4 linked regions of the Oreochromis niloticus genome follow. The protein of the gene in region 4 interacts with the protein of the main gene of each other region in a biochemical or structural test. Links are inferred from orthologs where the notes say so. Each region holds a gene or a part of one and is shown on either strand. Other genes may lie near its edges. The genes, in order: E3 ubiquitin-protein ligase pellino homolog 1, irf7, irak4 and irak1.

Region 1 (8,015 bases), on a different chromosome or scaffold from region 4:
TTCAAGGAAAATGATGAGGCATCTTTCCCACGCAAGGATGTGCTGAAGAAGCTACCTCAACCTCAACAGGCTGGAGGAACTGCAAGGAGGGAGCAACAGTTCATATTCCCCTGCAACCTTGATCATTGGAATATTGAATAGTTCTTTTGAATAAATGGTTTTGAACTGGTGGTTTGTTTAGAAACCACCAGTTTCCAGGTTTGTTCTCACAGGTTTACAACTGTTAAAATGGTTTGTTTTCACAATATGATCAGTTTTACATTTTAAAAACTACATGGTCAGTTTGCCCCAAGATGGCTCAGTTTACCCACTGACTAGGTTCAATTTACCCCTAATCTGGGGCAAGTTGAGCCAAAGGAGCATTTTTTTTTAATAGGTCATTATTTTGGGCAGCGTCATCAGACATAGATTCTGATCATTACATTTGAAAGGAGACATCCTGAAATAAAGGAATATGTTATCATTCTATTTCTGTGTCATTTTTTTCTCACATCCAGGGCAACATGAGTAAAAAGTGGCTCATCTTACCTCACTCTCCCCTAACCCTCTCGTAAACCCTGTTCACCGAAGTCTATTTACCAACATACGTTAAGATATTACACATAAAAAAAAAAACACACGGAAACATTGGAAATCAGTTTTTGGCAGGCGAACACTTTTTGGCACGACACCTGTCCGCGCTAGGGGCTGAACCATTTGTTAATGATGGAGGGGTGGGGGATAACACTATGCAATATATTTAGTTTTAGAATTTATATTTAGTGTTAACTGTAGTTAATGTTATCTTATTTTAATAAACAACACTGTCATATGCAAAACTAGGGTGGCAAGACATCATTTTTGTGTGGCACATGCCACCCCATGCCGCAGGGTTTGTACTCAACTATCTGAGACTGGCTGTGAGTCATCGACCTGCATCTTTAATAAGCATTAACGTCACATCTCCACATGTTGTCTTATCACGTTATTCTACCGTATTTCTTAATCTACGGCAAGGAACATAATACATGTTCAACGGATTAAAGCATATTGGTGTTTTTAAAAACAACTGCCTGACTAAAGACTCAAACCGTGAAACTTCAGAGGATGGAACATTAAAGTGATATTAACTTTAAATAAATATATATGTGTCTCGTTATTCTAGCGACGGAAGTTGTGTTTGAGTTTAATTAATCCAAATTTTAATTGTTTCGATGAATTTAAATTTACCCAGCAAGTTGAACGACGAGTAAATGATACATTAAGTAATAAAAAGTACACGTGTTCCGATTCTTTATGCGATATAAACCACACCGACAATTAACATCCAAACGCCATAAGCAAGCTAATAAAAACAAAGCACTCGAGTCTGAGCTGACCTGCGAGTCGAAAAACGTCTTCTTCTGGTTATCCCTGGATGAATGAATGAAAACGCGGTCAAGAAGCTGGGTGTGGGAAAACATGTGCCGCCAAAAGCGTTAGAACAAGGAAATGCGGAAACATGATGTGTCGGAACTGAAGAATCATATTGTCGCATTATGACTTGAAACGTCGAATTAGTTCGAGTGCTTCCCCCGCTTCCAACCCACTCAAGGATTGTGCTAATTAGTCTAAGGATTGTAACATGCAGTCCTATTAAGCATTCTCATTAAGTTCTTCTTCTTTTAACGAGAACTTGGCAGAGATGATGAGCCCCTTAGATTGGTGAGAAACCAGAAGATACAAATATGGAATGACATTTAGGTTATAACAAATGCGCGAGCAAAATAATAATAATAATAATAATGATCTGAGCAAATAATTTCATTTCACAGGCGCAATTAAATTCCTCGCGCCTAAATTCAACAACGTATGAAGTTATGTGGAGGCGGAGCCCAAAGTAGGACGGGGTCCTTATGTGATTGCTTACTTTGATGGACACTTTCGGTTTTTGGCTTAATCTGAGTTACTCTTATACAGCAAAAGAAGCGCTGTTTTAAACCGTACTTGTTTACAATTTGAAAAATAAAGTTTGCCAAATTAATTATCAACAGTTATTGCTTGCTGTGCAGCAGTGGAAATACACATAACTGTCACTGGATTACTTTAATGCTGAAGAACCAGAGGCATGTTTTATAGGATCTGCAGTGCTGTCCCATTAATCTGCTGTACAGTATTGCACAGCTTCTATGATTTAAAAAAAGAACTCATAACGAGGACCAGGAAAGGAAGAGTGCATCAGAATCTGGCAATTATACATTTGGCCAAAATCCAGACAGTTAAACCAGCCAGTAGAAAGTTGCTCAGTCTGCATCAACAGTGAATTTTGGAGGTGGGAACATGATGGTGTGTGTCTGTTTTTCAGCATATGGTACTGGCACACTTCAAATAATTGAAGGAAGGATGAATGGAAAAACGTACCAAAACATTCTTGATAAAAATCTGCTGCCAGATGATGCCATGGTGCATTTCTTTCAAGTTCATCCCAAAATGTGTTATATTTTTAAAGGAAGTACTGTCAAGAGAAATTGAACCACACACTTGAGTTGGTTAGAAATATGGTGTAGTATAATATTATATAATAAGCTCAAGTCATTCATATCCAGTTATTTACAAAGCAATAGCTATTATTCATTTCCTACTCCTGCATGAGGTTTTTGTAATCAAAGAAAACATCAGTCATGCTATCCTTATGTGATTTTCACAGCACCACAATGTTTTAAGGATGCTTAAAAAGAGCAAAAGAAATAAAAATGTTATTACAATTATCTGTCAGTTGTTTAAATAGAAGTGGAAAAAGCAGAAGAAGACAAAAGTAAAGATCAAAGCTGCTAATGACACCCACCACAGTCATGTCATCAGTGAACTTGATGATGTGGTTCTAACTGTGCATTGCTGCACAGTCGTGAGTCAGCAGAGTGAACAGCAGTGGGCTGAGCACACAGCCCTGAGGGGCTCCAGTGCTCAGTGTGGTGGTGTTGAGATGCTGTTACCGATCTGGACTGTCTGAGGTCTCGCCGTCAGAAAGTCCAGGAGTGGGGGTGGACTTCCTCACCAACACATCATTCTGAGCGTCAAACCGTGGATAGAAGTTGTTCAGTGCATCTGGTAGGGAGGCGTCACCCTGGCAGGCAGGTGTCGTCTTTCTGTAGTTGGTGATGGCATGGATGCCGTGCCACATGCGCTGCATGTTGCCAGGTTGAGTTGAGCATATAGCATATAAAAATGTATAGCATATAAAATTCATATCTAAAGATTATCAGCCTTGTCTTCAATCAGATGATTTAGACCTTGACAGGCTGAACTGTGACGTCAGAGTTTAATCTTCCTCCATAGACTAAACATTGAATTCAGTCTCCTGCAATTCAGTGTTTAGTCTACACAGTGGCACACTGCAGTTAGTAATGTCTGACATGACTGTTAGTGTATGCTATTGTTCCCGTTGTTTGGGAAACGCTTTCCACCTTGGGATCCTAAATACAAATAAAAGAAAAGGCTGTAAAAATCAGATCAAATACTCTCAGTAAAGGAACATGACTCATTTTCCAGGAACTAAGATCACTTCAAAGTTGGACAGTGCTCTTCTTCCATTACCAGCACAGCATAGCGTTTTACCTTAACCGGAAATAACGCTTCTAGGCAAGAGCCTTGTTACAGCTGTTCTGTTTATCCAGTACTTGTTATTTTTGTCTGTTGTCTGTCTCTATGTGTTAGCCTGCCTCAAACTGGCATAAGAAAATAGACGGATCGATGTTTTACGTATAATATCTGATTTAAATTGTGTTGTGACATGACTGGAAAAAATACCAAAAAAAAAAAAAAAAAAAAAAAAAATCAACACTATTTACATAAAAAAAACTACCAAGCTAACTTTTTGAAGTACATTTAGGAACAGGATGAAGCTTGGACCTCTACATCTTTGGGGACGGTTAATCAAAATGAACCAGTTGGTAACTCACTCTTGTCTTTCAAAAGTCTGAGCAGCAGCCTAATGTACCAAAATGCATAACAGACACGTCGGGGTTTAAACAGACATTATTAACATTTTACATACATATTATCCGCCTAGCTTACTCATTTCCGGCGATTAAGGACCCTGGAATGTACTTGACACGTATTTTGCTCACTACCGACTTCTTGGCTTTAAATATATTATCTCATGCGCAGGATGTTTTATGCTTGTGTGCTGTCATCTGTGCTATGTGGTTTACATTCTTCTATAGTTACATTTCCTGTCTTTCATATTTATATTTTAATTGATTGTTACTAAACCATTGCCCCCAGGATTAATAAGTATTCAGATTCTGATTCAGATTTTGATTTGAATTTAGCTGAAAGACCTAATGTGAGGAAACTTTTGACTAACTAAAGAGAATGTCTTATTGGGGTAACAGCTGCAGCAAGTCATAAACTTAGGTTTATGACAATCATAGTTGTTTGTGCACGGCTACACACGCAGACCACAGAGAAAACTGGAAGTACAGGTTTTGTATTTTCATAGTAAAACAAGTGTTAATGGTGCAAACATTTCAGCATCTCAAATAACCATGTTCTCTTAATTAACTATGAGGAAAAACTAAAAACTAAAAGTAGACATGAAAATCATTTTAGTTAACTAAAATAAAAATAAAAACTGGAAAAAAAAATCTATGCGTTAGCCCTGCGACAGTCTGGCGAACTGTTCAGGGTGTACCCCGCTTCTTGCCTAAGAGAGCTGGAATAGCAACCCTTAATAACAGAATGGATGGATGGAAAAAAACTGAATCAATTTAATAAACTTAGAAAACTAAAGAAATGTATATGTATATGTAATTTCGAGTTTATAAGACAAACTAATGGCATTTACTTCAGCTTGAAAACAATTTGGTATTTGAGTAAGTATTGAGTATTTTGGTATTCAAGTAAGTTACGTTGTTTTACTCTGAAATGTGAACCGGAAATCAGTAGCCTTGATAGCTAAGAGGCACAGTTGAGTTTGAAAACGGAGAAGCCAGCGTTCGCTCAGTGTGGGTTTGTTAGGAACTATATCGATAAAACGTCGCCGAACACCTGGTAAAAACTGAAGTAACTTTGACATTTTATGGTCTGAAACGGCTAACAGCGTTTGTTCCCTGGAACAAAGACATCCGGGACATTCGACTGCTTTAAGACGAACAGTAACTTCGGTGAGTTAATTGTCTAAGGAGTTGATTCTTTTCGTCATTGTTACCGCCACTAACGCCGACTAAGTCTTCTGCAGTCAGTGTTAACCTTATGCTAAATAAGTACCTAATGAACTAACACATTCTCTCCTTTTTCTCAAGTTTTACGATCGAAAAATGCTAACTAGCTACGAGTTACCGTAATGACGTTATATAGGGCAACAACAGTGTACCCAATTTCTTAAGCCATTCAAGGTTTAGGTTTAGGTGTAAGCGCTAAATAACCATATACGCGTTTTTTTTTTTCACTGACAAAATCCCAAACACAAGTTTTTTGGGGGGGTTTCTCGTGAAAATGTGTGAGTTTGGGTTAACGTAAATCAAATTTTATCGACGCTTTTTTATGGTCGTATATGGTATTAAATTTCGTAATAAATTACGGTGACACGTCTTTTTCGTAGTGACTTGTAAAGTGGAGTTGTTCTATGCATGTCATAAACGACTCTGAAGTGTCTGCAGACTCCAGTTACATAGCTTCTTTTCTTTAATAGTGTGTCGTACTGATTTGTCCACAATAGAGTGGCCACAAATAGAACTCCAGATATTTAATTAAAATGTACACACAACACTGCTATATTCTACAGCTCATTGAATTCAGGATTTGAAGTTATTATTTACATCAGGTAAAAAAGGTAGTGTGTGTATATTTAGTGTCTTAAACAGGGCTCTGTCCGTGGTGGTACTCCGTCCTGTCCTGTAGCCCAGCTGGCCTCCTTTGTCCTGGCCACACAGACTGATTAGCATTCACCATCCTACCAGAGCATCTGTCTCCACAGACACTGCTTTTGTTCCCCATTTAAATTTTGAAACTTTGTCCTTTTTGTCCATCTGTCCCCTCATATTAAAAGCCTACAGATGTGTCAGCCCATCTTCAAAGACGAATGTTGATCTAAAGCCTGGAAAGTTTTGAGTTCTAGGTGAGAGTTGCACAAGAGGATAAACAGAAGTGATGCTTACAGTTTACGTAAATTGAGATATTTTATTATCAGAATATCACCATTTATAGCTGATTTACATACTTTAACGTTTCTGTGGCTATTGTTCAAACTGGTATTCACAAACAAAAGAGCAGAAAAATTATGATATTAATCCTGAGGACGAATCTGTGAGAGAACTCTGAAATGCTAAGGATGGTAGTTGTCCCAACTTTGTCGCCAGAGAGCCAATCAACACCCAGATAATGAAACAGAAAAGCCATGTCTTTGACTTTCTACCACTAGAGTGAGGAGATCTCTGAAAATGTTGACTTTATTTTTGGCCAGTCCCCACTTTTTCACACCCCTCTTAGGTATATGCAGAACATGCCTGCTCGTGTTCTGGAGGCACCTCTGCGGTATGTGTGTGGAGTGGGAGGTATTTCTTCTTCAGAGGTTATGTGGAATCATCACAGGGTGTTATAGGTCTTGTACCTTGTAGCTGGTCTGGTTTGGTAAAAATCCAACACCTCCGCCCTCCTGTTATTTCTTTAACATTATTGTACATCAGAGCTTATCCTGTTGTGTCCATCTTTTGCTAACTAACTTGTATAGTACCCACAAGTCTTGGCTGACATTTCCTTTGAGCTTTAGGTTAGGATAACTTAATCTTTCATTTCAGCTCAATAATAGTTACAGATCTCAGAGTTTTAGAAATACTGGTTGGATGTTTCTTTCTGAATTTTAACATAGATCTATATCTTCAACTTTTTTCCAAGTAAACTCATAATTTTCTAGCATAGTTCAAAATTTCAAATAGATTTATTTTTAGAGTTTCATCATATACATGTAAGCCATAGAAGGGCTCCAACTCTCATAGCCATGATAGTTCTTTGCACTTTAGGATTGTCTTAATCCTAATAAAGGTTTTATCCCATGCTGGCATTCTGGCCTGGCTAAATAAGTGTGAGCCATCTGTGATTGGTGAATATTCTGCAGTTTTGTGGACTGTAAACACCTTACTTTCACAGTTCACAGTAATGAAACAATATAGTGGTCAGATAGAGGTACCCGTTTGTGTCAGGTGTTATTCTGTTGTCTTCTGTTTTTTTTCATAGTGGATAATGAAAAAAAGTGACTAACAGCTCAATGTACAGTGCTGTGGAAAAGTATTTTCCCTGTTTATGATGTCTTTCTTTTTTATTTTTGGACTTTTTGGCACATGATGTAAAATAATAAACAAAGATGGCATGAGAATTACAAATTGCAATTTGTAAATCATGATTTTATTTATTAATGGTCAGAGGGCCCGGTGGCGCCAGTGTTCGGCAGCCTCGCCTCTGTCAGTGCGCCCCAGGGTGGCTGTAGCTACAATGTAGCTTGCCATCACCAGTGTGTGAATGTGTGTGTGAATGGGTGGATGTCTGGATATGTAAAGCGCTTTGGGGTCCTTAGGGACTAGTAAGGCGCTATATAAATACAGGCCATTTACCATTTACCATTCAATGGGGGGAAAAAAGGCTGTTTAGACATACCTGGCCCGATTTGAAAATGAATTTCCCCCTGAACCTGCTGGTGTGGCACTTTTGACACCAAGAACTGCAAATGTTTGCATGGGTCTTTCACATCACTGTAGAGGAAGTGTTGTTAGTTCAAACCCAGTTGAAATGGAATGTTAACTTTCCAAAAAGTTCACCTTCTGCCTCCTCAGTCTACAGGGTATTTTCTGCTTTGGTTATCATTAAGATGTTTTTTTGGCAAATGTGACATGACCCTTTTGTACTTGTACTCTCCTATAGATTAGGGCTGTTCGATATAACGATATATATCGGATGACGATATAAAAACGTCGATCGTTTAATTTTACGCAATCGTTTGTTTTGTGGTGTCGCAAAATAAACTGTTTACGGCAATATTTTTTCATCGTTTTGATGGTCACTGT
Region 2 (7,537 bases), on a different chromosome or scaffold from region 4:
TGTAAGAATAAGTTCATTCAGCACGGTCACTGACACGACTGATCTGTGGACCTTGGTAACCTCACCTTAGGGGAAGTCATATAATCCACACAGTATGCTTCTTCTCGCTTTGAGACATTGTTTAAAAAAAAAAAAAAAAAAAACATGTTGCATCACACCTCCAGGATTTTAGTTTCTGTTTTGAACAAACTGCTTTTGTTTTGAGACATGCTTTGGAACCTACAGGGCAGGTCAGTCTTGGCTCAGCAGAAAACTGACTTCCTGACATAGTGCTGATTAGGCATATCAAACATTATTAAAAATTATATTAGAAATCATCTTAGAGCAAAATTGTAGAATATGTAATCTGTTTCAAAGGGCACTCATTCAAAGGGCAGTAACTGGGCTGGACAACTGCCCAAAAGACACACCTGATCACAGCATATTATTCGAGTATTATCAATTAACCAACAATGATACACAGGGCTGGAAAAGAGGTATCCTATAAATGATCCTAAAACAAGCAATAAACAAAAGTATGGACTGCAATTGCCAGAACTCTGTGTGTGCATACTACAATGCAACTCAATAAAGGCAAACATCGTTACCAGTAAATCAATAAATCTTGAATCAACAAAGGCTATCTTCTTGGAATATCAACCCATGTTACAGCTTCAGATGAAATCTCATTCACCTGTAAGGGCGTGTCTATTTACGAGAAAGCGGTGGTTTTCTTTTTTTCAGTCAAACCATTTTACTCCAGTGTATCAACACCCCCGCAAGTCTGTTTCTTTTCCTTACTTACAATACGTTAAGCCAGCACTGCTCCCTGTTAAAGTATGTGCGTGTATGTGGGATGATATAGCACACAGAGAGAAAGAATGTGAATGCAAAACAGAGAGATGAATGTGTGTGTGGGTGTGTGTGTGTGTGGGGGGGGGGGCAGAATCTATATTTAAAATTCCCAGTAGAAATCCCCTTTAAAGATATAAGAAGTCTGACTTGAAATGCACCTGCTTAACAGAAGTTTGTCCTTCAAGGACAAGCTGAGCGCTTCTTATGTCGCTTGTATGTTATCTCTCACACGCGGGAATGATCTGCTGTTGTGTTCTGCAGACAAGTCAAAATATTACCCTTGAATTATGCATAAACTAGCAAAATAGGATGTGACAATCTGTGTTGTGTGTCAATATTAAAGCCAGATCATTCCTAATTAGCTTCTTTGAGCCTTGGGGGTTTTTTTCTACAAGGTCCAACTACAAGGACTGCACAGTTTTCAGTGAGCAAGAAAAGAGAAGTGATCCATCTACAGCATGAATCACTTCCTTATTCCTGACACAGATGCTTGGCTCTGAGAGCTATATTCCCTAAAAAGTGAGAACGTCAGTAACCCAATCTGTGGTCAGAACATGGTTGTGCAATCTGAAGATTAAAAGTATCTAAAGCGCACAGAGAAACTGACATTTTGTGGTGGGATTGTGGGTGAAAGGTAGAAAGGGTTCCTAGGAGGATAGGGTGAAGAAAATACCTTTCAGTTAGTCTTTCGTGCACAGAGAAATTCTGAAAACACAACAGTGGAAAGAGGAAATGATGCCTGGGTTGGATCAAGTAGCTCAACAAAGGTTTATTCTTCAATAATGCAGACTACAATGCATGCAGCTGAGACACCCCCAAAGCGGTATCACTGTCAGGTTATTAATATTCTTTCTGATTCTACCACATGACACAAGTCTGTACAACACCTGCAGAACTTTGAATCAGAAAGTCTCAAAAACAGAGACACACTGCTTTTAATACACACTGTGGGGTATTCACTGGTGGATTTATTTTTCTGAACTCACTGGAACTTGGTGGTTTCAAGGGGGACTCATTTAGCAAGAGTTTTTAAAAAAAAGTACATCGGGACAGACAAGGTGAAACCATTCAATAATGCAGACTATTCAGAAAATCAGAAAAATGTCAGGTATTATCTGAGTCGAAACTGCTTAAGAGATGTTTAGCAGTTCCTAAATCATATGATAGGTGTGAAAGAAAAGATTAACATATATTGCTATTTGATGTACTGACACACTGTAATAAAAATATTCACCCTGTTATATAATATACTGTGTGTACTAGTGTAATTTGTATATCTCTGTTTTCATATTATTAATGGATGTACAACAACACCTGCATTTATTCAGCATCATATATGTGTAGAAATCTTTGAATACACCAGATTTTTCATACTGAATAAACTGGCATTATTTACATAACACTGAAATGCATAACTCATAAATCTATGGAAGTGATGTATAGAGTCTAGACTGGATCAGTTTAAAGTTCATGGTATACAATAAAAATTGCCGTAAAGCTAAATTTGTGTTGATAAGGTTTTCAAATATCACCCTACTACTGTTGATACTATGTACACTACCAGCCACTTTTTTAGGTACACCTGTTCAACTGTTTGCTAACACAAGTATCCAGTCCAAACAGAAAACATCAAGACAGCCTGATGAAGTCCAAACCATGCATCAGAATGGAGAAGCAAGGTGATTACAGTGACTTTGAACATGTCACACTTATCGGTGCCAAACAGCCTGTTCTAAATATTTCAAAAATGCTGTTCTACTGGAATTTTCATGCACAACCATCTCTAGGGCTTACAGAATATGCCCAGAATATAAGAAAATTAGTGAGTGGCAGTTCTCTGGGTGAAAATGGCTTGTTGGTGTCAAAGGTAAGAGGAGAATGGCCAAACTTCCTTAAGCTGACAAGAAGGCAATATTAACTCCCTCGTTACAACCAAGGTGTGCAGAAGAGCCTCTATGAATGCACAGCACTTCATACCTTGAAGCAGATACAGGTCTTCTGCTATCAGCTAAGAACAGGAAACCAAGGCTACAATATCCACAGGCTCACCAAAATTGAACAATAGAAGATGGGGAAATGTTGCTGTTGGGTCTCAGTTTCTGCTGTGACATTCAGATGAATGTCAAAATTTTAGACCTAAACTACATGGAAGTATGGCTCCATCCTGCCTTGTATCAAGAGTTCAGGCTAGCGGTGATGCTGTTGGTAGTGTAATGGTATGGAGGACATGCCAGCACTGGTTATAAGGCTGTTACTGTCTATTTTTTTCATTAGATGAAGGTGGTGTGTGTGATGTGGACAGAGTCTTCAAAATTCTCCAAAATATCACTGATAGATATATATCAGTGGTAAACATATCTATCTACACATATATATCTATATATAGATATATATATATTAATAACACGTTAAATGATGCATATTTTTAATCAGATGCTCGTGAATTCTCGTGACACTGGTGAAACTCCCAGCTGATCACTATAACTGAACGTGACCCATAGTTTCGGCGGGCAAAAAACTCTTCGAGTAAGCATTTAACTATGGGACAGTAAGCCTATGGGATGATGTAATGATTCTGACGGAGTGACGAAATAGCCTAAAAAAGGCCGACGTCGTACTGAAGTAGTACGCATTACGACGAAACACATTACGACGGGTAGTTACTCCCGTCCTAATGTGTTTCCCCGCGTCGGGAGCGCGCACTGAGCAGGGAGAGCGTATGCGGTTGACCCTGGCTCAAATTCCAAACAACCAGACGCGGAAGTAGTGATGTTTTAGTTTTGTGTAAAAGTGAAAGATGGGTTTTGTTACATTACCGTCAATTTGGTTACAACAGACATTGATACATCATTACGGATTATTAAGAGATAAGAGAATAGGAGGAGAATCTTTAACGCTCAAGATACCAATTTCTCAACAAGTAAACGGCTCTGGTCGTTTTCAGACGTCCTATAAAAATACTATTTGCTCGGATTTTTGCACATCGCCAAAGGTTATGTCTGCTGAGCACATGACTGAAAACAATTGTCAATTGTCTATTTGTTTTTATAAAACAGATTTCTGTAGCTAAAACACAGAAATCCCCCCTTCCCCCAGATAGACCACATGATTGAATAATGGCCGAATGGATATACATTTAAAGTGTTTTTTATTCAAACAAGAAGTCGGTATTTTGACATTTTTCATTCATCCAGGCTGCAAGGCTTCCTTGTCATCACCATAATCTCCGGCTCACTGCACAGATTCTCTATCAGATTGGATATTGACGGTCTGGCTGGGCCGCTCCAAAATGTTTAGATTACTTCCAGTCAGAAGATTACTTTAAACCTACATAAGGCAGGGCGGTGAAGCATTTGGGGCTCTATGTTTGTGTTGCCTATTTGCACAGTAGACACGAAACCTGTTTATGTTATATTCTCTTCTATTAAAGAAAAAAAAACAAAAAAAAACACATCCCTTCTCCCTGCAAAGTGCGCGCTCCCGACGCAAGGGAAACAAATTTCGCTTGGCACGCAGCCAGCGACTTTCAGATCTCTCCCAGTAATCTCCAGCAAGAAATTCCATTATACAAACCCACTAATACGCCCATTACATCCGGTCGGCGAGGCTGTCTTGTAATTGGTGTGTAAGAAACAAGCACTCTCAGCCACTCGTGCCCCGAAAATCCCACGCTGGTGTTACTTCCACCCTCTGAAGGAGGGACTTATAAATGGAGTATAAATGTTAGAAGACGTGTTCGGAAAATTCAGACCGACGGCTTTACAGAGAATCGGTGAAATGCAGAGGTAAGAAGAAACTCGTCTTGTTTTTCTCCCTTGCACATTTAATAGTTAATAGTACTGCGGTTTATTGCTGTAGAATAAATCTGCAGCTTCCAGTTTTGGGAGTTTCTTTTTGAATGTTCTCAGATTTCCCTTGTGCGCTCGTAAGCCGTCTCTATTTATTCACGCTTGTTGTTGTCGCTGTCGTGTTTCCTGTCAGCCTCCCCAAACCTCAGTTCTCCAGCTGGCTATTAAAGCAGGTGGAAACGGGCCAGTACGCTGGCCTGTGCTATGTTGAACCAAACAAGTTCAGAGTCCCGTGGAAGCACAACTCCAGAAAAGACTGCAGTGACGAGGACAGTAAAATCTTCCGGGTAAGTTTATTGCCAGATTAGCCTTTGTTATCCGTGCGATCAGATAAAAGGGTTAAAATGACTATGTTGACATTTTTACTGAAATAATAAGCTACTACATTGATGAGTAAGCGACTTACAAACTAAGCGTGTGCTTTAAATAGTTCCAAAAATAGTTTTGTTGAGTTGTTGTTACTATCAGGCTGGAGTTGTTTAGCTTGTTGCAGCTGTTCCCAGAGGCAGTTATGGCATCATCTCTAGTGGTGACACTTGAGTCAGTGATCTTGAGTCAAAGAAATCCTGTACTAATGTTTTTGATACATTTAATGTGCAAAACCACAGCTTGTTTTCATACTTAGAGCACAGTTATACGCCGGTGCCAGTATTAAAGGAATTCTACAGATTTCAGCCAAGTGTCTTCATTTTTCACAAACAGCCACTTCAGTTTAGATGTGAAATCCAAATAGTGTGTGAAACAATTAGGAGGTGCATGTGAAGTCTAATGTGTGTAATTATCTCATAAAATATATAGTAAGTTTGAATTTTCTACCCGGCTGTCATTATGTTTACACCTCTCTGCATTTCCTCCATAGGCCTGGGCAGTAGCAAGTGGGAAAATTAATGAGTTCCCTAATGACAAAGCCAGGTGGAAAACCAACTTCCGCTGTGCTCTGAACAACCTCTCTGTGCGCTTCAAGATGGTAAAAGATAACTCCAAGAATTCTGATGACCCACATAAAGTCTATGAGATTATCAACACTGCACGTAAGCTAATCATCACTTAAGCCGAGATTCTGGGGTAAAACCGTTCCGAGTTTGAATGCATAAATAACGCTGATCTTTCATCTTTCCCTGAAGAAAACCAAGACGGTCTGGCAACACGGGACCCTTGGGAGGACGCTGACATTATACCAGATATATACAGCTCTTCCACAGAGTACCTCCTTTCAGCAAATGAGGTTCAGTATCACATAAAGCGCTCTTTCACTTCTCTTAGTTGGTGTAATCTCACTTGTCTTTGTGCTTCTAAATATTAACTGTTTCACTGCCTCTCCCCAATAAACAGCATGATCTGGTTAACGATTTGATGGCCTTGGGTCTTGGCAGCCAGTCAACAGGTAAAGTTTGTGGATCGCATTTGGTTTTCTGTGGTTTATAATGGAGGTTAGTTGTAGTTTAAAATGATTTTACTGTCAAAACAGAGGAGCAACCATGGACAGAGAACTATGGCCAGCAAAATCAACCCGCAACTGAAAGCTATCCTGTAGCAGCCGAAAACAACCCACAGCTTTTACCAGTGCAGCAAATCTGTTATGGAGGTATGTTTAGACAAATTTCTCTTCCTGGATGAAAGGTTTACTAAAAATATGTGTACATAGTTACCCAAGAAGGAGGGATCTGTTGTCTATTAACTGTTTTGTTTTGTACAGTAACTCCTGCACCAGTACTCACTTCACCTCAGCCGGGGCTATTTGACCTAGAGGTCTCCATCCACTACAGGAAAAAAGAAATGGTAAAGATGACTTTGAACACTCCCCGACTGCAGCTCCACTACAACTCAGAGGCACTTGGGTATGAGGCATTCAAACTCTGCTTCCCCTCCACTGATGGTCTGCTGGACCACAAACAGGTATAATCATACCATTAGCTAGATGCATGTTTTACACAGTTGTACCATCCAAGCAGACACTAGAAATTATGTTTATTATGTTACTTCAGGCATGAAGCTGACAGATTCTGAGATACTGTGTATGTCACAAATAAAATTTGACTTTAGAATACGATAGATGGATTTTACCCCTACTTTTAGGTACAGTATACTGCTGTGTGATGAGGCATTTTCATGTTTTACTCACCACAACCTTCTTATTACCAGATTGAATACACCAACCGCATACTTAATAGCATCCAGAGAGGTCTATTCTTGGAAGTGCAAGAAACTGGTATTTATGCCTGGAGGCAGGACAGATGCCATGTGTTTGCCAGCACCAGTGACCCTAGTTTGGCTAATGCAGAGCCAGCAAAGCTTCCCCAAAACACCATGGTGGAGCTCCTTAATTTTGAAAAGTTTGTGAATGGTAGGTGTAGATGTTTGCTCATTTATATATGTGTATATACACCATATACTGCTGAAGTATGTCTGTGAAGGTTCTTAGTCATCCAGGTCATCATAGTCTAAGGAGCTTGGAAAGAAAAGCGTCTGGACTTCTTTAAGTTGCTTGAAGACGTTTCATCTCATAAGCCCTGTTCAAACAGAGGTGGTGGCTCACGGCACCAACTGTCTGCCATCCATAATCCAGTTTTGAAATCCCTTCCCAGATGCCTTAATGCCCACTCACATCCTGGGCCTTCTGACCTCTGGAAATCACATGATAGGGTGGGGCTATGTTTCATAATGAGTTCACCCAAAACCTTGGCTGATTGTGACCTACACCCATTTTCACACCTTGGCTCATGTGATTAGGTAGAGGATCATTAGGGGGTCCATTGTCCCTCTTGGGCGGACACTCCCATAGGGCTTAAATCTGGGACTCTCCACCATTTCACCTTAGAACTGAAGAAGCTTCTCGAATTAGAGGTGAAACGTCT
Region 3 (7,820 bases), on a different chromosome or scaffold from region 4:
GTGTCAAAGAATGCCTTCACTGCTGTACTGTCAATTTCTCACATGTCATCATAGCATCATAGCATCTCCATTTACTTCCAAACTTGCCCTCTGGTTCTGTCAGTGTACATTCGATCATTGCCACAATTGTGTTGCAGCTTTCCTTTGAGGTGCAAAAACTCCTATACCGCCAAAAGGATTCGTTCACTCTTCCAAATTATTCAGTTCAGGTGTTTCAATCACTTCCATGGGCACAGGTATATATAGTCAAGCAGCCAGGCATGCAGACTGCTTCTACAAACATTTGTGAAAGAATGGGTCACTCTCAGGAGCTCAGGGAATTCCAGTATGGTACCGTGATAGAATGCCAGTTGTGAAATTTCCTCGCTGTTAAACATTCCACAGTTATAGTGGTACTATAGTAAAGTGGAACTTAATGGTAACAGCAGCAACTCAGCCGTGAAGTGGCAGGACACATGAAATCACAGAGCAGGATCAGCAGATGCTGAGGTACATAGTGTGCAGAGGTCACCAAATGTCTGCACAGTCAGTCGTTACAGACCTCCAAACTTCATGTGGCCTTCAGATCAGCTCAAGAACAGTGCATAGAGAGCTTCATGGTATGAGTTTTCATGGCCAATCAGCTGTTTCCAAGCCTTACATCACCAAGGACAATGCAAAGCACTGGATGTTGTCATGTAAAGCACCCTGAGACACTGGACTCTAGAGGAGTAGAGACATGTTCTCTGGAGTGACAAATCCCACTTTTCCATCTGGCAATCTGATGAATCAGTCTAAGTTCATAGGTTGCCAGGAGAACCATGCTTATCTGGCTACACTTTCCAAGTGTGAAGTGTGGTGAAAGGGGACATTAGGTGTTTTTCAGGAAATGGGTCGGCACCTTAGTTCCAGTTAAATGAACTCTTAATGCTTCAGCATACTGAGATATTTTGAACTATTTCATGCTCCCAACTTTGTGGGAACAGTTTTGGGACGGCCCCTTCCTGTTCCAACGTGTTCCATCATGTGTTCCAGACATGCATTAAAATTTAACTATACAACTGATTTTAATTTTTTGAAATTTGCAGATTTTATTCACGTTACTTGCAAAATTTTAAAAACACATTCCCTCTTAATAAAACACACATTTTCACTGTGGTACAGTTGTGATGCATAATGCTGAACACATGTTTTAAAATGGTATATTTGTATATTGGATCATTTGCAACAAGCACCAAATGGTTTTAATGGTTTTAAAAAAAATACTCATTATTATTTGAGAATTGTGCCTTTTATGTCCCCTGTTATTGTGTTTTATTGTTATTCCCTATCTGCTTTAGTTTTGAACTATATCACAGTCCTTTGAAAATAATATTCTAATGGGATTTTTTTTTTTATTATATAAAGGCTACATCTGCTATTCTGAGGGTGAAATTTCTCAAAATTTTTTCCAAAACATTTCAATAATTTTAACAATTTTAACTGTTCAACTTATTAAGTTGAACAGTTAATAAGAGTTTTCCAGACTCCTAAAAGCTATGAAACAATAACGTCTGCTGCAAAAAAAATATCCCACATGTAACCCCATCACCATCAAGGTCATTTGGGAAATAGACGTAATTCTGCCTGTTATGCAATCACAACGGACCATATAGCATCCGTGGCTAGCACAGCTTCTCATTTCATGTGTCCTTGTTTACCATTAAAGTTTCCTAGATATCACATGACTTCCTCAGATCACTTCCTGCACCTGCAGCGTTTCCACCCGCTGATTTAAGCCACTTTGGCACGTCTACCACCTCTGCCCTTGTTCCCAAACTACAGGGGACCTCGCTTTCTGCTCTCCCTCACATCTCCACCTCTCCTTCGCTTCTATCAGATCCTCTTCTCCATCTCTTTCCCTCTGCACTCTAATTATCGAGAGCCTTCTCCCCTGTGCTGGCTGTTAGTTTTCCTTTTTTGTGTTGTTGTTGTTTTTTGAACTTTTATACTTCTCCTCATCTTTAGCGTCAGACTCTCCCTTTCCAGCTCTCTTTATTTTCTTCTCCCTTCATCCTTCCACTCGCCACAGGAGAGCAGAGGCTCTGGCTTCACTCCCTGCCTCTGCGTGTGATGCGTGCATGCAGTGTTTGGATCCTGTCAGTCGGGTTAGAGGAGGCACGAGATGATCAGGCACTTCAAAGAATCTCCTGCGCACAGGTGTGAGAGCTATCCTTCACCAGGAGCACACACAGGGAATTTACCTGAGCTCTCGGCAGCTCAGGTCCTCGTCAAACAAGCGTCTTCTTTGATGATCTCTTGGGCACCGCTGGCTTGTGTTCGCACCCCAGGTTAGCACACATACACAGAAAGAAGACAGGTACAGATACACTCCAACTCCTACTAACAACATACAATTGCTCTAATGAAGTCCCATGTCATTATGCAGAGGTACTCAAATGTCCTCACCTGTCATTTAATAATAAACAACTTCTGACGAGCTCCAGTTGGTCTCATGTATTATGTATTTGCAAAAGATGGCATCAAACCTCAAGCATAAAGAGAATACACACTTTTGGGCACCACAATTGCAGTAATGGCTCTCATTGCTTTTCCTTCACAAAATAACTTAATTGCACTTTGGTTATTTATGTGGTGAAGTCTCCTTTTCATGTAATGCAGACCATCTGTATGCATTGTCATAGAAGTTGTTTTTAAGTTTATGAGTCACTAACTTTTATTGAGAGTATCACTCGTGGTGTCATCAGCCAAGCCTATAAAAATATAATCATAACAGGCCTGTGGGTTACAGTTGGCTCTCTCTGCTTAGATCATCTCTTGTATGCTCCTTTCACAGAGACATAGTGAAATGACTCGCAACTGTGTAAAATCATGCAAATGTTGCTTGTCATCATCGGGACTCATCAAAATCACATGCAGCATTCAAGAATTGTGTTAGCGTGTGTTGTGAGTTCAGTCTGTTGGTGCAGTGATGGCCATGTGCTCGGGGTCACTGGTTTCACAAGCTCCATGCTAAAAGTAATAGCCTTACATACAAACATTATTTATGTCTTACTTAAAATAGGTGTTGGATGACTTTGGGTAGATTGAGATGACATTTTTGAAGTTTGCATTTGAATATAATTTAATAAACAAAAGTTGAACGCAATATTTTTTAATGTAAGAACAATCGTTCAGAGAAGGAGTGAGAACTGTGCCCATGCATGACTGAAAGTTTAATATCAAATAAGATCAAAACTCAAGCACACTTGAATTTTTGCTTTGATGCAGTTTGGTGTGTGCACAGTGCTAGCAGCAGGTCTCTGTGGATGGTTTGTTTGATGGGTTGAGCTGATGTTAATAGCTCAATAAATATCAAATGGATTTTAATTTCACTTGTTCATATTAGCATTTAAAACATGCTATTGTAAGACTTTTCTGATGCAAAAAAAGTTTTAATCTTGTGTGTGGGTTTTTTGTCTGAAATTTATGTCTCTCACACACGCATCTTGCACTTCATCACTCCACCCAGTAATCCATCCCATCCAGTAATACAGCTAAGCCTTCCATTTGCACATGGAACTGATCACAGTTCATCAAATACAGTGCAAATAGCAACTAACACACCATAAACAGATCCAGCTTTTTTGTAACACAGAAACAACAAAAAAGGTACTCCAAGCAGTTTAGACCAAATGCCTCCAGCTGTTTGCCAAATTTGTTTGACATGAGATGGCTCGATCGAGGTCACCGCCTTGATGTAGTTTTAAAGTTTCCAAGAAAAAAAAATCAGTTTGTCCTGCAACACATTTGGGGAGTTTATTTGGGGTGGGGTGGGGGCGGGGGGGGGGTGTCTGTGCTGGACTGTGACTGTGATTTAAACACCAGTGAAAAAAAAAGTGCCTTATGGGTGATGGATAGGCTGATCGATACCTAACATCCTGCAAAAATGACACCCTTTGGTTTACATTGTGTGTTGATGTAGCAACATAGTAGTTCATAAATGTCCAGTTGAGTGTTTAAATCATGTATTCACCATACACAAATAGGTACAAAAAAGATGTGTGTTTGTTTTTTCATAATACTTACTTATATAGCTATATGATCACATTTCCAAATGAATGCATGCGTTAAACCTAGAGTTTAATAAGAGAAGATGAAGATCGAGATTGAGAAGATGTTAAGGGAACTATTTTCTATTTTCTTCTGTTTTTGTGCATTTAAATTATATGCATACAAGTATTATAATATTTGATATACGCAGCAATTATTATGAATTCAATCACAGTTCTAAGGTCTCTCTGTTATTCATTCCATCCATCCTTTTCTGCCTATCCCAGATATCATTTGGGTGAGAGACAGTTTACACCCTGAGCAGCTCGCCAACCTGACGCAGGACTAAAACAGGCAACCATTCACACCAACGGGCACCACTAACTGCATGTCTCTGGAAGGCAGAGCACCCACGCAGACACCATGCAAACTCAACACAGGAAAGGCCCAGCCGAGTGGTGGACTCAAACCCAGGGTGTTCTTGCTGGAAGGCAACAGCACTAGCCATACACAAACAGCCCCGAATGGAAGATTTGCTTTATTTCCATTATCCACTAGAGGGCACTGTGACACTGTAAACCACCATCACACGACAGCTGTCTCCCTTTCTGCTCTTGTGCTCTTGTGTTACCAAAAAGATAATTATATAAATAAACACACGGAGGTTTATTGTTAGTTTGTTGTGCCCGCTTACAGGTAAGAACAGCCAGCACAGACTGTATTATACCACAGCACTCACTCTTTGCGTTTCCGCTTTGTAGGCGGAGACCTTTTGTGGGCCAGCCCTGCTGGTTACGTTTGGGGAAGTTGCTCAATATCGGAAAACACTGTTTTTTTAGGTATGTGAGCAAAACATAACTGTTTGCGATTTTTCTGGATTAAAGAATCCACTCGATGGAGTATAATTAACGTCTTCAGGTCTAAGATCATGACAACATGACTGTTAGATAAAACCCAATCTCGGGTTTGGTCACAAGTTCCCCGCAGAATGGATAGTTCAGTAACTTCCGCTACTTATATTCGTAACCTCGGTTATTGTTTACGTCGCAAGTTGTCCGATTTTTTGGATCCTCAGGACAGGTGGAAAGAAGTTCTTGTAGATATACAGAAACCGAGCGGGGAGCCGAGGTATTCCCAGCTTCATGTCAGGTAAGATGGGGGCAAACTTTCTGACGTGCTTGCTTTTCACTGAATGAAATCACACTGATTGTTTACTTATTGTTTACTGAATATGTGCCGCTGTCTTTTAAGGAGATTTGAGGGTCTTGTTGCACAGGGTCGCAGTCCCACAATGGAGCTGCTCAATGACTGGGGGACCACCAAGAGCACAGTGGGTGAACTTGTGGACATTTTGAAGAGTCACGAGTTACTGGCTGCTGCCAATGTTCTGCTACCCGGTATGACTTTTAAAAGCCATTAAATAGTAACCACACGCAACAGGTAGAATAAACCTTTGAATCTTAACTTACCCCAAATCGTTTTCCCAGTATCCCCCCTTTTTTTAATTCTTGTAAGAAAATAAGATGTTAACCACGAGTTATGAAATTGCAATAAGAGATGTAGCAAAAAACTTCTGAACTTTTTGGGTAGTGGATGAGTAAACATCTGTTATGTTATATTAAAGGTGTGATGCCTGGAACATAAGGGGAAACAGTCAAACCGCACTGATACAGGATGTAAAACCCAATCATTTATTCTGATCATTTTTTGTTTTTGTCCTCACACATTTGAAGAGTCCAGTCCATTGGAGACACAGCTGACTCCTTTAAAAACCCGAAGCACTGCTTCAACCAGACTGCTGGAAGAGAGAGATGTGCAGCAGCCTGTCACCACTGTGCTGCAGCTTCGGACGCCAGAGGAGAACACCGAACCAATACACACAGGTCTTTCACTTTTTGATTATGTATTAATTTTATGTTCATATCTTGATTGAACATATGACATTGAACATATGACACGTATGACATTTATTAACACAGTCACTTATGAGTCATATTCATGTGATGTTTTTAAGTAGATAATGTTCATCTTTCATTATCTGCTGAAAAGCCTGGTTTCAGTGAATTAAAATGTCATATCTTTCTCAGCACCATGTAAATTTGCCACTGCAGCACTAAAGTAGTGCAATAAATCTACTTGATTACATTAGAGCACTGTAAACAAAGCTGCTCTATAGTGGTTTAGGGTAGTCAACAAAGATGATATTTTGATTTCAGTAAGTGATGCTGCTTCTTTGTAAAGATGTGATTTTATGTAATCGACAGCAGGTGGCAGCATCGGGCTCTTGATCAGAGAAGTTAATGAGGCAGTTTACTGCGTCTCCCCCCTTAGGCTTCTCCAGTTTCTTATATAGTGACCTGATGAGGATCACAGGCAACTTTGATGACCGGTCCACGTCAGCTGGTGGCAGCCGAATTGGAGAGGGAGGCTTTGGGACGGTATACAAAGGTCTCCTGGATGACAAACCAGTTGCAGTGAAAAAACTCAATCCAGTAAGTGAAAATATTTTTAACAGAACCACATGCCTCTGTGTACTGCTGTTAATTGCATTTGAGATATTGTATTATTTAGGTGGACGACATGCCACTGGACAAGTTGCAAGATCAGTTCAACCAAGAGATCCAGACTCTGAAAGTGTAAGTTTCCCTCAGGAAGAAGGTGAAGAAGCATATTTAACATACGTGTATTTACAAATGCAGGTGTGGTTTAATAACAGCATTTGTTCCACAGGTTGAAACACGAGAACTTGGTTGACATGGTTGGATTTTCCTGTGACGAACAGCACCTGTGTTTAGTGTACGCTTTCATGGCCAATGGATCTTTATTAGACCGACTGGCTTGCTTTGTAAGCATTATTTACTCTTCTACACAAACAGTCTGCTTTTCAGTCCCAGTGCTTTCAGAAAGGGATTTAATTACATGCTTTTTTTTTTTTTGTTCATTTAGGAAGGAAGTCCTCCACTTTCCTGGCACCACAGGTGCTTGATAGCAGAAGGAACAGCCAAAGGTTTGGAGTATCTGCACTCCAACCATCACGTCCACAGAGATGTTAAAAGGTTCATAGAGCGAAAGCTTTCATCGTTATTGGTTTAGAGATATCCCACAAAGAAGAGAGAAAATGTCCCGTTTTTGATGTCCCGTACCTTTATGGAACACTATACACATTACATCACATTACTGTGTTAGACAAAGAACCAAAAAAAGACTGGGGATGTAGAGAAAGCTTACCCATATGGTTTTCTGCAGATCATATGACAAGGTTCTCTTTAGAGCTAAATAAAAATTAGAAAAAGGTGAAGATCATGAAGATCATGAGTAATTAGTAATGCAACAGTACAGGTTGGGCACGAAAGGTAGAGTTTGGTAATTTAGTGAGTTTTATAGAGGCTCATGAGCAAAATCATGCAAGAGGTATTGATGTTTTAGTTTAACTCTTGGCAAGGAAGCCAGTAAAATCACATTTCCCTAAATGTAGAAATATACATTTTACATGACACATGACGGGATGTTTTGTTGCTCACTCTGGCTCGTATTTCTTCCCTGTTAGTGCGAACATTCTGTTAGATGAACAATTTGTGGCCAAAATCTCAGACTTTGGTCTGACGAGAGCATCGGCCAAGCGAACATCGACGACCATGATGACTGAGAGGATCGTGGGTACCCGTGCGTACATGGCACCGGAGGCGCTAAGAGGAGAGATCACACCAAAATCCGATGTCTTCAGTTTTGGAGTGGTAGGCTTTCTTCAGACACACACACACAGATACACACAGATAGGGCTGGAGAAACTGCAGCTGTAATGTAAAATG
Region 4 (7,635 bases):
ATTGCTGTCTCTCTAACAGCTTTATTTGTGTTTGTCAGCCTAATAATGCTTCCCTCATTAATATCAACACCTCTTTGTGCCTCTTTTTGAGAGTTAATGCAAATTTCAACACTCTGAATCAACATCTTTTATTGTCTTAGTTTGTCATGAAATAACAAAGGAACAGGCTTCCCTTAGCCAAGACATGGCTTCCAAGTTAATTGTCCAATCACTTTTGAGCCTCTAAAACTGTGCATGATGCTGCATTCCAGATACCTCTGAATCCAGATGTCGGAACTTGGAAATTAGGGCGTTCCAGAAGAAGTGAGGAAAAAGAGGATTTGTTTTGGCTCTTCGCAAGGTAGAGATATTCAGGAATCACTAGCATGCACCTATGGTATCAATTTGAAAATCCTAGATGACTTCATTCTGAAAATCTTGTGAATGCAATGATTAAAGAAAACTTGACCTCTGGCCTTGACCTTGAGGTTGAGGTCACTGAGATTCAAGCTTGTCTAAGATTTTTAGTAGATGGACTCATGGTATCAATTAGAAAACCCTACGTTGCCTTGTTCTCAAGTTATTGTTTTCATAAACTTGGGTGTCCACGCCACCCGCCTGGCAATGACAATTCCCATCAGCCTTTTACAGCTGAGGGGTAAAAATGGCTGTAACTCCTAGAAAGCTAGCGCGGTTCTTTTTTTAAAGTGCTCGAATTAAAGCTGAAAGTCTGCACCAGAACCACATCTTGATGATTGTTTTAAAATTTCACCGTGGAAGTGTACAGAGGCGAGAACACGAAAATAAAAATTACTCCAAATACTTACTGAACAACACATACTGCATGTTGATGCATGTGATGTTATTTGTCTTATTTAGCGCGCAACATTTGCCCTTATATATTTTTTTAACATCTTTATCTGTTGCTTAACACTTGTGACTCATGCTTCAGTGCTACAGTGTTGCATTAGAGTTTGTCTGAGAGATTTCAAGGACATAACCAGCGCACGTGCTGTCCGCCGCAAACCACAACTCCATCACCTGATGTGGGTGGGATACACAACTGGGCCTGACGCTTTTCAGTTTGAAAACAGAAAAAAATGACCAGAGTTTACCACAAGGAGGAAGAGGTGCAAAAAACCCCAACATAGACTAAAGAAGCAAACAGGAAAAGTACAGGCGATGGCAATTTATTGTTCTAACAACTGGTTTCATTTCATTTCAAAGAAGTGCTTGTTCTGCCGTCTCCACAGCAGGGCAAAAATGAAATTACCAGCAACAGCAAAAAATATGAGCTGGAACAGTCCACATTAGTGGTACTTTGTCTCTTTTTTTTTGAGCTACAACAAGCCAACCTTCATGGTTAAAACAAAAACGAGTATCAAAAACTGATTTTCCTTAAATAGCCACTTGAGGTAATTCGATAAAGAGTCGCCATTGTGGCTTATACTGACCAGGATAAGCCACAATGGAGGGATGTCTCAGGGATCACAAGTAGCTGCCTCCGATGGCTGCGAGTGTGATGCAAATTCGAACTGATGGTGATATCAGAGGAGAGGTGCAGGGGGCCAAAACACTAAAAGGTGAGGAGTTTGCAAAGAAAAATCTGGGACTCTCGGCCATTTGACCTTAGAACTGAAGAAGCTTCTCGGATGAGAGGTGAAACATCTTCAAGCAACTCAAAGAAGTCCAGACGCTTTTCTTTGCAAACTCCTTTGACTACGATGACCTGGATGACTGAGAACCTTCACAGACACTAAAAGGTGAGGCTTCAAAATAACATCACAATCCCTGGCTCCATCATCTGTATACAGTTTCTGAGCCCTACATCTAAACCTTTTCTCCCACCTCTAACTGCTCTAGTATTTCTTTTCACTGTTCCACTTTGACAGCTGTGAATGTTCTCTAATGCTCAAATATAAGTCTGTGCCTTTGTCGTTTTTTCTGTAAAACTTAAGTTATATTTAAGTAGAAAAGACTGGCAGAGGTCTTCCTCCCCACCATCGCCAAATGCTACTTATACAATGTAAAACTTTAAAAGTGTATTTCATTCTAAGAAAACTTAAGATTTTTCAAGCCACCTGAACTCAATGAAGTACACCAACATAACAGAGCTCTACCTAATTTTTAGTCAAATAAACCCCACACAACCTTAGTTAAGAGAGGTTACAGTAAAACAGAAACATTCTGGATTTTTTGAGAAACCTCAAACTGTTCCTAATCACATTTCATTATGTGTCAGAACACAGGCATTTCAGTTTCTGTCACATTCCTGTGCTCCGTATTTACTCAATATTAACCAAGTGCACTTACAGATAACGTCTACCAGAGACTTCCTCAAAACAGACACCGGTGAATGTATCTATATTTAGACTAACTCTAGTCAAAATGTGACCTGATATTGGAAGAAAACTGTACCTGATTTAATCTCAGCTGACACTCACGCTAAAATAATATTTTATTAATATTATTATATATTTTAAAACTCTGTGGAAATAGATGGGACAGGTAAGCCCTGTACCTGAGGGCAGACCGAGAAGGATGAATCACAGCTGAGGCTCTCACAGCTTGTTTAATTCTTATTTTCTGTAGTGATTTCATACGACAGCGGTTAAAGTTGAAAGTTGTTACATCGAATAAACACGCTAGAGTTTATTTTGATGAAACACCCAATTAACGGTGGGCTCCACCGTCCCTCCTACCCCACGCTGCTGGCCTTTAGCTCTCAGTCAATGTTCGGGTTCTGACTCACCAAAGCGGGTCCAGTCCTGGTTTGACAGCCCGTCCATGATGCGGCAGAACTCACAGTCAACGGAGGCGGGCAGGTTGAAGTACAATACGGCCCTCGGGTCTCTTCCCGACATCTTTACCTAACTCCTTCTACAAGTTAATCCACGCTGAAGCTAACAGGCTAACCGATGACAGCGACCACTGCGAGGAACTCTGGGCGGTCTGTAGGGTATCAGGTTCACACAAGGACCTGGATCACTGGGTCACATCAGAACCGCCCGGAACGAATCTATTCAACCACTTCAAAAACTCTCTCAAACTACAGGTTTGAGTCTTCCAGCGCTTCCGCCTGAAATAAGCTAGCTGCTTCCGCTCCGTGCTACCAAAATAAAAGCCCGAGTAAATGAACCGTTTTAAAACTTTTTTCTTCACTTTTCACTTCTTTTTTTTTAAACAAATGTTTTACCTCGTGAGCCCCATACACCCCCATTTGATCAGAAGTGGACCAAACCAGTGAAATTTCCCTTTCTGACAGTTTAAATCAGTTTAATTACACATTTAATCCTCGAGATGTCTTAATAGGAATAGGAATAGGAAAAGAAGACAGGACGGACAGAAAAAAGCACATCTCAGTTTTTCTACATGACAAAGAAAAGCTGTCGTGGCAAATGAAAAAAATCTGTCAGCATGACTCTGGGTTTAAATTGTAAGACATAAAGTTATAAAATTACTGGAAAAAAAAGTTTGGGTAGTTTATTGACTATCCTGAAATAATATAGAAAGCTTTTGTTAATTCGCAGAAAATGACACTTTAAATTGTGCATCCTTTATAACAAACAGACATTTCTGTAGCAGTAAAAACAGGAACGTTTCTTATCACTCCCTGATTAGTTTGGTTTAGCATTAATGACCATGGGAGAGGTCTTTATCTGTGGAAAATAAAGCTGTAAAACATAGAAAAATGCAGCTAAAAGTAAATGTATTCCTTCACATTTTCAAAAGCTGTCCAGTGGGGCCAGATTGGAGTCTTTGCTTGGCCGAATTTCCAATTTATTTATATTGTTTATATGTATTATTTTTATTTATGAAGCACAGTCAAAATTCAAAAATAATTTAAATTCATTGTTTGGGGGGGTTAATGATAATTACTCAAGCATAAAATGTACTTTTCATTATTAAATCACCAAAAATAACCAGAAAATCCAAGTATTACTCTTCTCTATACCATGATTTGTATCAGTGTATTACATCAGACCGGTCGTTCTTACATGCAAAGTGTCAGCTTCTCCACTGTAACCGTTTCCTGGTTAAATATAATTTCCTGCATGACAAACTCCAGATTGTTGTTGTTGGTTTTTAACTATCAGTCGGAAAATAGGATATTATTAGAACTAGAGCTGCTTGATTTCAATCACAGTTATTTTGGTCAGTGCTGAGATTGCTGTGATGGAATCCAAATACTAACAGTTTTGAAAACATGTAGATGTATTACAGTTATAAAATGTCCTTTTCACATTGCAATTAATGTTAATTAATGTTAATGCAATTAATGTTTCCTGCAATGCATTGAGCTATGTCACCTGAAAGAGACACTTTATTGTAATATATTAAGAGATTTCATCATATTTTAACTTATTTTATATTAATTTTTATGCTTACAACATTTTATACTTGTTTTACATCCTGCAGGACTGATGTCTGTAAAGACCTCGTTTGTGTATCTACATATGACTTTCATCTCATTACAGGAAGTCCTAAGTGAGTATTTCCTCGTGGCTTTGACTAAAATGAGTCATTTTCCTGTCTTAACTATGACAAATGTGAAGCATTGCATTGCATTACATCACACACACACATACACACACACACACACACACACACACACACGTTTCACACTTCCTTTTTCTCACCTTATTTATTTGAATGTAAGTGGTTGAATGAAACGCCTGAATGCTTCATTAGCTCAGTTCAGTTTGTTTGTATCAAAGGATTAACAACAGCAAACTGTTATTATTAATACCACATACAGCTAGAATAACAGCATGAAGTAGAACCGTGTAAACCGAAGGACTGAGTCACGTCTCGGCGAAAAACAGAGAAGCTCGGTAGTTTTGCTGACCTCAGTGGAGATATTTGAAAAAATTCCAAGTTTAAGAATCTGGTTTTGTCATCAGATTAATAATCCGTCAGGTATGAGACTGCATGAAGATCACTGGGACTCACGGTCACCCTGTGCAGCTGGGCTCTCATATCTGAGGCTTTTGCTTGATTGTTTTTTAAAGATACTTTCTATAAACTACTCAACCTAAAGGATATTGAGACAAATTCTAAAAATTAGCACAAATTAATTTTTGTGGGTCCCCTCCAATGCTGAGGTCCTGCTCTACTACATAATTGTCATTTCAGTCCACTGCTGCCTCACTGCAGGAAGGTCGTGGGTTTGAATTCAGTCTGGGGCTTTTCTGTGTGGAGTTTGCTTGTCCTCCCCATGTATGTACGGGTTCTCTGCGGGTGCTCCGGCTTCCTCCCACAGCCCAAAGACATGCATTGAGTTAGGTTAACTGGTGATTCTAAACTGACTGTGTGATCGTGAGCATGAACGGTTGTCTGGCTCTCTGAGTTACCTCTTTGACAGATTGGTAAAAAAGACTAAAAAATGTGCCACCATTACGCCACCCACTGTTGAAAGCCAAACAGATTGTTTTTGCCAACTTAGTGTTTTGAAACTGGACATGACGTGTGAGGCGTGGATATGACTGTGAAAGTGAGCACACCACGGGGTCATTAGTCAGTGACAATACCCTGGATTTTCCTCCTTTCTGACTCTGATATTGTCCATGTTAAAGACAATTGGCCAAAAATGCAATGTTCATAATTACCACCAGGGGGCGACTCAAGTGGAAGCACATGGTGAAAAAAATGTCCCTAAGATTCCCCGCTCTGTGACCTCAGTGAATGGTTTCATTGACTTTATGGGCTTGACCACTAGTTTCATGTTATACTACATAAAATGGATGACGTTGCACAGTTGGCTTGCCCACGAAAAACGCTCATTGGCTCCCCTGTGGTCATCCTGTACGGGTGCCACGGTAGTTTTAGCCCACAGGGCCCCCATGACGGTTTTCTGTGGGTCAACCCATAGTGTGTTTGCCCACAGAAAACCCACAGACGGACCCCAACAGGCAAAACTGTTGTTTATCCAGTGTAGGCCCGCACAGGCAAGAAGTAAAAGATATCAGAGAATATCCAATTTTCAATATATTCAAGTCAGCTTATTTGTTTGATAGGATTTGAGTTTATTGTTGTTGGGTTTTTTCACCCCTTTGAGGGGAAGCGGATCCACACTGTAGTGGTTTACATTCATTCATACATACAGTCACTGTTGGTGCACTGTAGAATTTTGCTGTCCTTGAAAGCTCTTCATCCTGCAGCTACATCACTTTGGCTGAAAGATGTTAAGTGTTTTTTTTTATAAAAACTGGAAAAAAATCAAATTCACACTCAGAGGGAACGCCTGTAAGTTTTTACAGATGTGGCAGTCTTTTATTATTTACTTTAATTCCTTGAAAACAACTGGACTTGCCTAATTTTAAGTATCTTATTGGGTCGGACCTTGGGATGGGGATTGGTTATAAGTTGTTTAGTAGTTTCCAAAACAGCTTCACAATTGTTAATGGCTGGAACTGTACTGATTTATACCTTTATATCACTTGTTTTTGTCGACGCTGATAGGTCAAACTACATGTGAATGAAGTGGAATTTATGGCTCAGCAGAGGGAATGCGTTCACAGGCCGCTGGCAGCTCGGGGATGGCCCGTCTACCTACAGCACACTCTGTTGTAGATAGAGGAAGCATACAAAATATGTGGTACAGCTGGCCTGTGGGTCACTTTCACTCTTTGTTGGTCCGTCAGCTGTTGTTGGTCCGTCAGCTGTTGTTGGTCCGTCAGCCAGCCCAGGAAAAGGGCAAAGTTACAAAGAGCTGAAATGAAATCCACTTTTAAAAATAATAAAAAGTGTCTGCAGTGGACACTTTTTATTATTTTTGCTTTATTTTTGAGCTTCAGTGTTTGCTTTGTGCGTCTCCAGTTCCTGGTGAACTCCGCTGTTGCTCTCTTCCCTGTTCCAGCCCACTTATCAACCAATCAGGATTTGGCAGACCCACCACCTACGGATAGTGGAGATTTTGGAGGACTGCACAGAAGCACATCTGTGGTGAGTGAAAACCCCTCTCAGTTCAAACGGAAATGTGTATGCAGACTGACACAATTCCAGGACATAAATTACACTTAAGGAAGCGGCTAAAATTTGATTTGTTTTATATTCATTGAAAAATTAAGAGTCACGCTCCATACCAGTTGCTGGTGGTAATGTGCCCTGGATTGTGGTGGCCGGGTAGTCAGCCCACAGGGTCTCAATCTAAAATGTGGGACACACCTGGGTCCACACCGAGGGTATGCTGCAGACCCACAGTGGGGTCCAGGTGTGCCCTCATTTTATGCTAGTACTTGCTACAGTGGGCTGCCAGTAATGGACTGTGTGGGTCTACCCACAGTGCGGCCAGATTGTGGGGGCATTGTGTTTGTGTTTTGCTCTTCTGCAGGTAATCTGGTTTTAATATGTGCTAAACAAGCCTCCAAAAAACTTTTACTCTTAACAAGTTTCACTTCATTTTTAAATAAAGGGTTAAGATGGGTCACTGTGACAGCAACAGGGTATTCAAGACAGTCTTTTCCCCAGCAAGTTTTCCAGTTACTCTAGAGTCATTCCAAGACAATCGTTGGCCCAGATAAGACATATATCATCTCCACAGTGTGTCCCCTGGGTTCTACTTCCAGCCCATGTCTGACAGGCATCCTCATCAGATCCCCAAACCATCTCTGCTGGCTCCTTTCAACTTTAAGGTAGCAGCTCTACTCCAAGCTC

What was found.
Region 1: of the proteins of irak1 (region 4) and E3 ubiquitin-protein ligase pellino homolog 1, one has a biochemical effect on the other in vitro, tested with the Homo sapiens proteins (5 studies listed by BioGRID and IntAct, with this or other methods). The link is inferred for Oreochromis niloticus from reciprocal best matches to the Homo sapiens genes IRAK1 and PELI1.
Region 2: the proteins of irak1 (region 4) and irf7 form a complex in vitro, tested with the Homo sapiens proteins (2 studies listed by BioGRID, with this or other methods). The link is inferred for Oreochromis niloticus from reciprocal best matches to the Homo sapiens genes IRAK1 and IRF7.
Region 3: of the proteins of irak1 (region 4) and irak4, one has a biochemical effect on the other in vitro, tested with the Homo sapiens proteins (2 studies listed by BioGRID). The link is inferred for Oreochromis niloticus from reciprocal best matches to the Homo sapiens genes IRAK1 and IRAK4.

What each region holds. Positions count from the first base shown.
Region 1 is NC_031971.2:1,157,770-1,165,784, reverse strand, and holds the start of E3 ubiquitin-protein ligase pellino homolog 1, read left to right. Parts: upstream 1-4,897; 5' UTR 4,898-5,123; intron 5,124-8,015. Other genes in the region: uncharacterized protein LOC109202627, read left to right, coding at 1-141. UniProt on the Homo sapiens protein: E3 ubiquitin ligase catalyzing the covalent attachment of ubiquitin moieties onto substrate proteins. Involved in the TLR and IL-1 signaling pathways via interaction with the complex containing IRAK kinases and TRAF6.
Region 2 is NC_031972.2:58,805,239-58,812,775, forward strand, and holds the start of irf7 (interferon regulatory factor 7), read left to right. Parts: upstream 1-4,429; 5' UTR 4,430-4,554; coding exon 4,555-4,619; intron 4,620-4,815; coding exon 4,816-4,969; intron 4,970-5,541; coding exon 5,542-5,713; intron 5,714-5,806; coding exon 5,807-5,907; intron 5,908-6,014; coding exon 6,015-6,066; intron 6,067-6,150; coding exon 6,151-6,267; intron 6,268-6,378; coding exon 6,379-6,578; intron 6,579-6,824; coding exon 6,825-7,026; intron 7,027-7,537.
Region 3 is NC_031972.2:47,515,566-47,523,385, reverse strand, and holds the start of irak4 (interleukin-1 receptor-associated kinase 4), read left to right. Parts: upstream 1-4,772; 5' UTR 4,773-4,999; coding exon 5,000-5,160; intron 5,161-5,262; coding exon 5,263-5,408; intron 5,409-5,744; coding exon 5,745-5,894; intron 5,895-6,342; coding exon 6,343-6,503; intron 6,504-6,582; coding exon 6,583-6,647; intron 6,648-6,741; coding exon 6,742-6,856; intron 6,857-6,957; coding exon 6,958-7,067; intron 7,068-7,558; coding exon 7,559-7,745; intron 7,746-7,820.
Region 4 is NC_031984.2:5,049,015-5,056,649, reverse strand, and holds the start of irak1 (interleukin-1 receptor-associated kinase 1), read right to left. Parts: upstream 3,085-7,635; 5' UTR 2,844-3,084; coding exon 2,732-2,843; intron 1-2,731.